Linked DNA regions of Drosophila melanogaster. The protein of the gene in region 1 interacts with the protein of each later gene in a pairwise test. Each region holds a gene or a part of one and is shown on either strand. Other genes may lie near its edges.

Region 1 (4,064 bases):
TGTCGATGGAGGGCAGATCAAAATACTTGTAGACGTTGCCGTCCTGGGTGAATGACTCCTGGAACTGGGCAAAGGGATTGGCGCCTGCAAGGAAGACAGGATTAGCGTACAGATCAAATACTCCTTTTTCCAATTAAATCCCACCGGAGCCGGACATTGTGGAAAAATTAAACAGAAAACCAAGCAATGTGATATAGAGATGAGCGCGTGAGGAACCGCTACCAGGCAAAACTTGCTCATCACTAACGCAAACATTATATTATCGATAACTGAACATGAAAACAAACCGGTACACAGTAAAAAATATTTATTTATTACTTAAAATGAAACATTTGTAAATTATAGTGGAATAATTTATCATTTTTGTGATTCGAAAATAATATTGGATATAATATTGGATTGATTGCTTTTTTATTTTAGTTCAAAATAAGGTATTTAAAATAACTTGTTTGCATGTCTTTAAACGCTTTTCCCTTCCTACATGCTAATTTCGTTAAATAAACTTAAATATTAATTATGTTTTCTGCGGTTTATTGCAATAGTTACATGGTAGGCTTATTGTAATGTCACGTAGTATAATTGGTATTTGTAATCTATATAAATAATATGTATAGGGGATTATCATCTAAAGCTGCGTCGGGATGCAAAGCCTGTTTTATGGCGCAAGCAATTTGGCAGCGGGGATAACAAGTCTGTGATGGACGTCTACAGGTAGATTCGTCGCAGGTCCTTCGGCGTGGTAATCGAGTTGCACTGCGGGCACAGCTTTCGCGCGCCGAGCGTCTGCAACCAACACTGCTCGCAGTGGACGTGCCAGCAGGACACGGAGATGGCGGGATTCTTGTAGTCGTCGATGCAGATCAGGCACTTGTACTTGCCCTGCGCCTGCTTTTCGTAGAGCCGCAGCTTGGCCTTCAGCGATTCGATGATCTGCTGCTGGTTTTGGGAGGTGGATCGCGTGGACCGCGACGTAGACGGCTCCTCGCTGGCTGGTGGAGCCTCCACGTTGCTTGTGCTGGCAGGCTCTTGCTCGGTGGCTTCGCTGGAATGGTTTGGCTTGGGCCCATCGCTGGAGGAGATAAGTCGGCGCACGTAGCTGGTAACATCCGCCTCGGAAACATTTCCCTCTGTGTCCTCGTTGACCAGTGGGATCACATCGCCCTCGCCATACTGCGTAGGACCATAGATGTGAGTGTCATCCTCGTCCACGTTGAGATCTTCGTCCTCGTCGTCCTGCGCCTGCTGACTGCCATTGTATTTGATTCTCTGGCCCAGGCCCAGGGCGGAATAGCCTCCTTGCACGAGAGTGGAGACGCGAATGCGCTTCTGTCCCGCCCACTCGTACTCTTCATATTCCTCGCTGTCCTCCGAGTCCTCACTCGAATGCCGCTCACCATTGGCCTGACCATTGCGGCGGCTCTGGCGCAGGCAATGATTAACATGCTCTTGGATGTTGGACTGCGGAAAGTTGTGGTTGCACACGGGACAGGTGGGTTGGCTCGATTCGGCAGCAGCTACGGACGGAGTTGCTGCAGCTGGAGGAGGAGCAGCTGCTACCGTAGGATTTACAGTTGCTGGTGGGGCAGGAGAAGCCGGACGCTTCCTGGTGCGCTGGCGCTGACGGGCCTGCCGATTGCGCTGCACCCGCTGGAACACGCTCCACGGTTGTCTGCCCCCCGATACCGAACCGGATTCCTCGGACGCGGTTGCTCCGCTAGTTGGGGTCGGTGGAGTGACAGCGCTAATGGGATTGTGCAATCGCTCCATCTCCACTTGGCAGTGATCGGCCACCTGACTGCGCTTGATCTTCACGTCGCATGTGGGACAGATCACGTCGTCGTCGCTGTTTCTGCTCAAGTGCTGGGCGAAGTTCTCGCCGTTGGACACCGTGTCCGTAGCCATCGATTCCTCGGATCCACCGCGGACTCTTAAGGGTAAACGAAGTTAAAAGATTCTGTAGTCGGATTTTGTTTTGTTCGATAATCTCTGTCCAAGCCACGCGACGCCGATTTCTTACGTTCTCGTACGGTGGAAAACGGTCACACTGATTTCGTTATTTTTCGTGTCAGTGGAAGTGGTCATTGCGATATACATCGTAAAACCGTTACAAAAGCGCCAAGCACAGTGATTAATATGCTTAAGCAATAATTAAAATTTTATTCACTTAAAAATATCTTTATAATAATTGATTATTTGTTTGAATTCCGTGTTAATTAAAACTTCAAAGTTTGCATTTTGCATTCCAACAACTCTTTTGACCTTAAGTCTTACAATAAAATAATTAAACGTACTGATTTCTTAATTTTTACTCTACTCTGGTTGGTCTTAATACAGCAATATATATATATTATCAGATTGCGTTGTTTACATGCCCGATATAACATGTGACAGATAGTGTCTCTCCCTCACTGTTAGGAAATTTTTATAAAGCACAGCCCCCGCTTTGATAAAAGTTTAAACATCCGAAATGTAAGCTATTTTAATTTCCTTTCTTCGTTAAATTAAATAATTTGACGGTAAATGTAAATTAACTGATAGTTCCATGGCACTTTATCGCTATCGAGAAATGCCCAGCCAAAACGATAGTATCGAGACAACATCGATTTAAGTTCCAGCTCTATGAGGGAAGCAAAACATTATTATTTTCGTCGTTTTTATTTTTTGATTATATAGAAAAGTCAGTGGTCGAGGAACATGTGAAAGTGGAAAAGCGACAGAGCTTTTCAAGCAGAGTGTAAGTGCATACAGGTTGAACCCAAAACCGACGCATATTTTTGCGAAAGTGCAAAGCAGACGGCGAGAGTGTGAAAAGGCAGCGAAAAGAGAATAGAGAAAAAATATAGCAGCCAGTTTCTCCTGGGCGTGAGTGTGTGTGCGTGTGCCATATTGTTAAATAAGGCAAATATAGTAAAATAAACGTAGAAAAAACAGCAACAACTATGCATCAGCAGTACCAGCAGCAGCAACAACAACAGCAGCAGGGTAACCTTGTTGGCTACAACAACAAAATGAACGTCTTGCCCAATTACACGCTCAGCGGAATGAGCTCCTTTGATGCCGAATCGCTGCCAGATTATTCAGAATTTGATTCCGAATCGGTAACCCTGGACTATTACAAGGAAAGGTATATTCCTGAACTCAAACAGATCGCATTTTGTTTTGCTTCCGTTCTTCCGCATAGCACACAACACACACACACACATATATAAACATACGTGTATACGAATTCCCTCGCCCTTGCCATTGTTGTTGTTTTGCATTTGGCCGTTTGCCCCAATTTTGCCTGCCGTTACCGTTACGTTCTATATAGCAATTAACCGTTATGATCCTGTTGCCATGCCACTCATTCACACACACACACTCACACACACAAAGTCGGTACTCGCTCATCTGCGAAATGTGTTTTTGTTTTTATTCCACATTTCTAGCCGCTATATGTAAAACTATATTTATCTCCGTCTAGCCCGTCGAAATATCTTGAGATACATTAGACGCAACATCTACTTACACAAACATATGCATCTTTGTTTGCGTATCTGAAGATATTAAAATTGGCAGGGAATCGTGCGAATTAGGCATAATATGCAGTTTTAACGAAATTTTGATACACTTCCTATTTGTTAGCAACTATTGAGCAAGATCGATAATAAGAAGACTCTGTTTTATAATATTTGTTCAAAATTTCATTTCAAGATGCTGATATTTTTTTTACAAACGTACATAAATTGTCACAAGTCTGACCTATTCTATTGTACTCTCAGTTAGGGTATAACAATGGAATGCGAATGGATAATTAGCATGTCGGTATTTCCAGCATTCAAAATGCTTAGTTGCAGTCCGCCTTGCAGCATAATTTATGTGGGGACTGCACCTCATCACCCCAGCTTCCGTCTTTTGTCATTGAGCCAAAATACGCCCCCCAATGATGACTGAAATATTCCGTCGCGTTTTTGTCTGGCACAATAGAGCGATTTCAATTTAAACAATCCCAAACTCATTCAACTGTACCAACGCATTGTTTTGTAAATTGCGTCAGTTAATACAAAACATACATACTACATTGA
Region 2 (4,670 bases), on another chromosome or scaffold:
GTAACACGATTTGATGTAGCACATTTAACTGATTGAAGATAAGCTTTACGTATTTTAAATCAACGAATAAAGAACGGTGGCCTATAAAGAAAACTCTTATGAAGACTACATACAGCAAAGAGTTTCGAGGATATATAATTAATTTATTGTTATTATTTTAGTTCCAGTCTTTAAACATCACTTTTTGGGCCACTTTCCGTGAAAGATACTTACCCACTTGCGATCGACCTCGATTTCTTGTGAAATTGTCGCTGCGCAGGCGCAACTTCTTGGCCACGACTGTGCGAAGAATTGGAGAAAGAGAGGCGGAGAAAGACGCGGCGCAGAACTTTCTCTTTTCACAAATTCTACGCACGCAGCGACAACAAGAACAAAAACGACAAACTGATCCACAAAAACAAAAAAAAAAAAGAAAACCAAGTGCACTGATGCGTTCAATTTGAACTGGTTGTTGCTATGTTTCACTAAAATTGCAATTGAAACAATTTGAAACAATACGAATTTGTTGTTTTGCGGGCTGGATTAAAAAATTGAATAAAAATCCGAACTTTTTGCTCGGCTTAAGCTAGGTGTGACCAAGTGCAGGGACAGGCCAAAATACCATGGATCTAAATTTTAGTACGTTGTATATCTACAATACTCTTTAGTTCACAAACGATGTATGGCAAATGTAAAATGTATAAAATATAATGCAAGTATATAAACATCAGTTATAGTTATTGTATTAAAATACACACATATAAAATCAAATCCAATAATCCAAATAATTTAATCTATAACCAAAAGAACCCATTTAAAAATGAAATATTTTTATTGATATTTGTGTTTTTTTTTTGCTGCTTAAATATAACATAGTTGCATATTTAGCATGGCTTACATGTATAAACAAAATTTTTGTTCTCGATAATTTGACACGTTATTTGAGCTTTTAAAAAATACTTAGCCTATGATTATAGTTAAAATAAAAATCAAATTCATTGAGTTTACCAACTAAAATTGTTATGAGAATTTGTTAGCGGCCGGCGTGTCATGAATAATTTCTTCATCGATTTTCAAATACACTAGTAATGTATAAAATATTAATGCAAGTATTTGACATTCTTTTAAATCTTCTCCGATAATCATGAGCACACCCGCCTTGCGTCGTTGTAATACTTTTCATTGGGATTAATAATAAATAGATGAGGCAAAAAAAAAAAAACGCATTCGATTTAGTGCGCTGAGTTTCCGGAACCAGCTCCGGACTTAAGATGAGTGTAGTTGCTGGTCTGGAGCGGTGGCCACTTAGTTGTTCTTCTTCTTGGGCTTCTTCGGATTGCGGGAGCGCGACTTGGCCTTGCAGAGCGGACAGATGGGCGCGTTCCGGTGGATCTGCTGGTGGCAGGACAGACAGGACTTCATGGGCGGCGGCTGCTGGCGGAGATTCACATTGAAGTCGGAGCGGAACGAGGGATGGTGGCCGATGCCGATCGAAGGCGATTGCTGCAGTCGATTGCTGGGCGGCGGCGGTGGCGGTGGTGCTGAGAAGTCACCCTTGCCCAGACGCACTGCAGCAGCAGCGGCGGCGGCAGCAGCACTGCCTGCTCCCGGCGGTGCGGGTGGCATGAAGGCGTGTCCAGGATTGCCGCCACCACCGCCTCCGCCGCCCACAGATCCTCCGCCACCGCCTGCAGCGCCGCCACCACCAACGCCGCCCTGTCCGCCGCCAGAAGGCAGCGCGGTGACCGTGGCCTCCGGCATCAGAGGATGCCGGGCATGCGGACGGGCCAACGACGAGTTCTGATTAACCGAGGCCGCCGCCGCAGCTGCAGCAGCTGCTGCTGCCGCCGACTGGGCGGCCACCTTAAGGAAGTTGGTCTGGAAGCGATCCTTCGAAATGGGACTGCCCTCCTCCTCGTGCAGATCTCGCAGCGGGCTTAGTCCGAGATAGTCGCGGCGCATGTGATCAATCTGGTACTTCAGGGCCAGGTACTCCTCGTACACCCGGTTGGCCATGTCGAAGGAGCGGGTCTGGTTCTCCTTCGTCTGCTTGATGATGTTCTCCATGTCGTTGATGTCCGCGTGGATCTGGCGCAGCTCTTCCACGTGCGACATCTTCTCCTCGAGCAGGTGCTCCATCTCCTTGCGGTACTCCTCCAGGCACTTCTCCTCGTCGTCGCTCAGCTTCACCTCCTTGATGATCCGCACTTTGAGCTTCTCCAGCGACAGCGTCTTGTCCCTGATGTCCTTGATGGCCTCCAGTTTGGCGTAGTAGTGCCGCTCATTGGAGCTCGAGATCTCGCTGGTGGCCATTGTAGATCCAAAACGATCCGTGTGGTATAATATGTGTATTTTCGAAAGACTCTCGAGTGTTTTCTGTATGGCCCCCTCCACTGGGCGAATGTTTATTTTGCACTTTTTCACTAGCCTAATAGTTCGATGTCGGATTTTCCGGCCGATTCTTAAGCATCTGATATGGATGATCGCGTCTTTTGGGATAATCCTTTGGAATGGCGCACTTTTAATTGATTTTTTCTTTATTTATTTGATTTTTTCTCTGCTAATGCTAATACCATTTTTTTCTGGTATACAATGCAGTGTTACCAGAGCGTGGAAGTAATTTTTACATTTAATCACGACCAGCCGATTATTTGCTATCGATAGCTGGCAGTGCGGTATATATCGTTTTTTAAATAGAAAACAAATTCCTTCCAATTCCAATTCCTTATACGTACAAATTTACTTAAATGATTACACTATAGTTAAAGTGCTTTACTGATTTTACCGTGGGCGCTGCTTTAAAATTTAAAAATCCGGTAAATTCCAGTTGCTGTGGCAAAAAACTTAAATCTGGCATTCATGCCGAGATAATATTCAGTTAACTATTGATATAAAATGTTTCAGTTATATGGAAAGAACGTTAGTATTAAAATTTACATTATTACATATAACTAAAATTAATAACTTGTATCCTAGCTACTAGTTTAGTAACTAGTTTTGCCGGCATTCGCTGTCTTTCCGCCAACGGTCACACTAGGCGCGCCCCGTTATATTACATTATGCATTTGTATTCTTCGATCGGTCGCAGATCGTTCGGATCGGAAAATCCGGTTCGGAAAGCGGGCATTGGGGACAAAAACAAAGAATCTTGTTCTGGTCATGACTTTTCCATCCGCGAATTGTCAACTTCTGTTTAGCGAATAGTTGTTGTTCCCTTTTGGAGACAACAACAAAAAAAGACATCGATCGCGCGAGAGAGAGAGACAGATGCAAACAATGCGTACGCGCGCGTATGTGTGTGTGAAACATTCCGCAAGTGATTCATTCCGCAAGAATAATAAATAAATAAACAAATATTAGTAAACTGGGCCGAAATGTTTGTGGAAATGTGTCAACTAGTTGCGGCAGTAAAATATCAGTGCAATATCGATATGTGTGGGAAATCAGCTTAGCAATTTAGCAGAGACTTTGCTTTTCGCCCACCGCTCTCTCCCTCTCTCTCACACTCTTTGTTTTCGTTTTTTATTGTTGTGCTCTGGTTGTGTTTGTGTGTGTTGTGAATATAAAACGAAGTTAAGTTGACCACGCAGAAACTGCATACGAAATTTTTAACAAGGAAAAAGCGAAAGGTAAAAGCGATTTTTATTATTTTTATTTGAAAGCCGCAGTTTCTTTGCGATCTCTTTTTCTGCGGGCTTCGATTTTCAATGGTCTCTTCTCTCTTCAATGCGTTCTAATCAATCCGTGTTTACATACGGGCTGTGTGTCTGTGTTAGTTGGCTGATAATTTTTAGTGACAGCTATGTGCCAAATAATAGTAATATCTACAATAAATCAAATATAAATAATGCGAAATACGGCAATATTGATAACATTGTGAATTTTAATCATTATACTTTGAAATGTTTAAAAACATTTCGTTAGTATATGTTTATATATTTGTATTATATTTTAATTTAGTGTTTTTGCCACCTATGCGTTTTATGCAATATAATGATATTTTTTCCTAAATTTATAAAACCACTATGGCTGTGTACACATTTGTATGTATGATAATTTTTGACACACATATATTTCGCTTCTAACTGCTTATCGCTCCCATTTAGCGATAGACTGTGCGAGCGGGACAGGTGTCACCTGTTGCGCTTCTTCGCTCCATCTCTCCACCGCTCTTCCCTCTCTCTCTCTCTCTTTCCATCGTTTGACACATTTTGTTGCTGTTCTTAATTGTTTGGCAATTAAGTCAATTATAAACATATTAAGACAGCCGACACACATTCTCCGATTGGATGCGCTTTTCCCTTTGACTTTCGCAGAAGAATCAATAACCAAATTAATCGATCAATCCAGGCGATAAGTCCGAAAATTGGGCTAAATAAATAAAAGCCTCTCAAGATCTTTTAGTTATGGTAATAAATAAAGTACACTATGCATAAGTTCGTTGGGGTACGTGAAATACAACAAACTCGTGAGTTGACAAATATTTGGATTTTTAGAGCCTAATGTATCTATGATCCGTAAACATTATGATTACTAAAAGATAATGTTAGCTGCTCACTCTATGTGCATTATATTTATATTAAATGGGAAGAGCTGTAATCTATCATCTCTTACTTATTTTAATAGCTTTTTCTTGTTTACAATTGGAACACATCAAGTGAACTAAAGGTTTGTCAAAACAATATGGTAAA

Evidence for each region. The genes of interacting proteins can lie anywhere in the genome.
Region 2: the proteins of RNF220 (region 1) and CG13001 interact in a two-hybrid assay, tested with the Drosophila melanogaster proteins (2 studies listed by BioGRID).

What each region holds. Positions count from the first base shown.
Region 1 is NT_033777.3:22,724,368-22,728,431, forward strand, and holds RNF220 (ring finger protein 220), read right to left. Parts: upstream 2,048-4,064; 5' UTR 1,903-2,047; coding exon 706-1,902; 3' UTR 517-705; downstream 1-516. Other genes in the region: Irp-1A (iron regulatory protein 1A), read right to left, coding at 1-84, 145-157; CG45049 (uncharacterized protein), read left to right, coding at 2,940-3,124.
Region 2 is NC_004354.4:16,940,291-16,944,960, forward strand, and holds CG13001 (uncharacterized protein), read right to left. Parts: upstream 2,582-4,670; 5' UTR 2,293-2,581; coding exon 1,285-2,292; 3' UTR 796-1,284; downstream 1-795.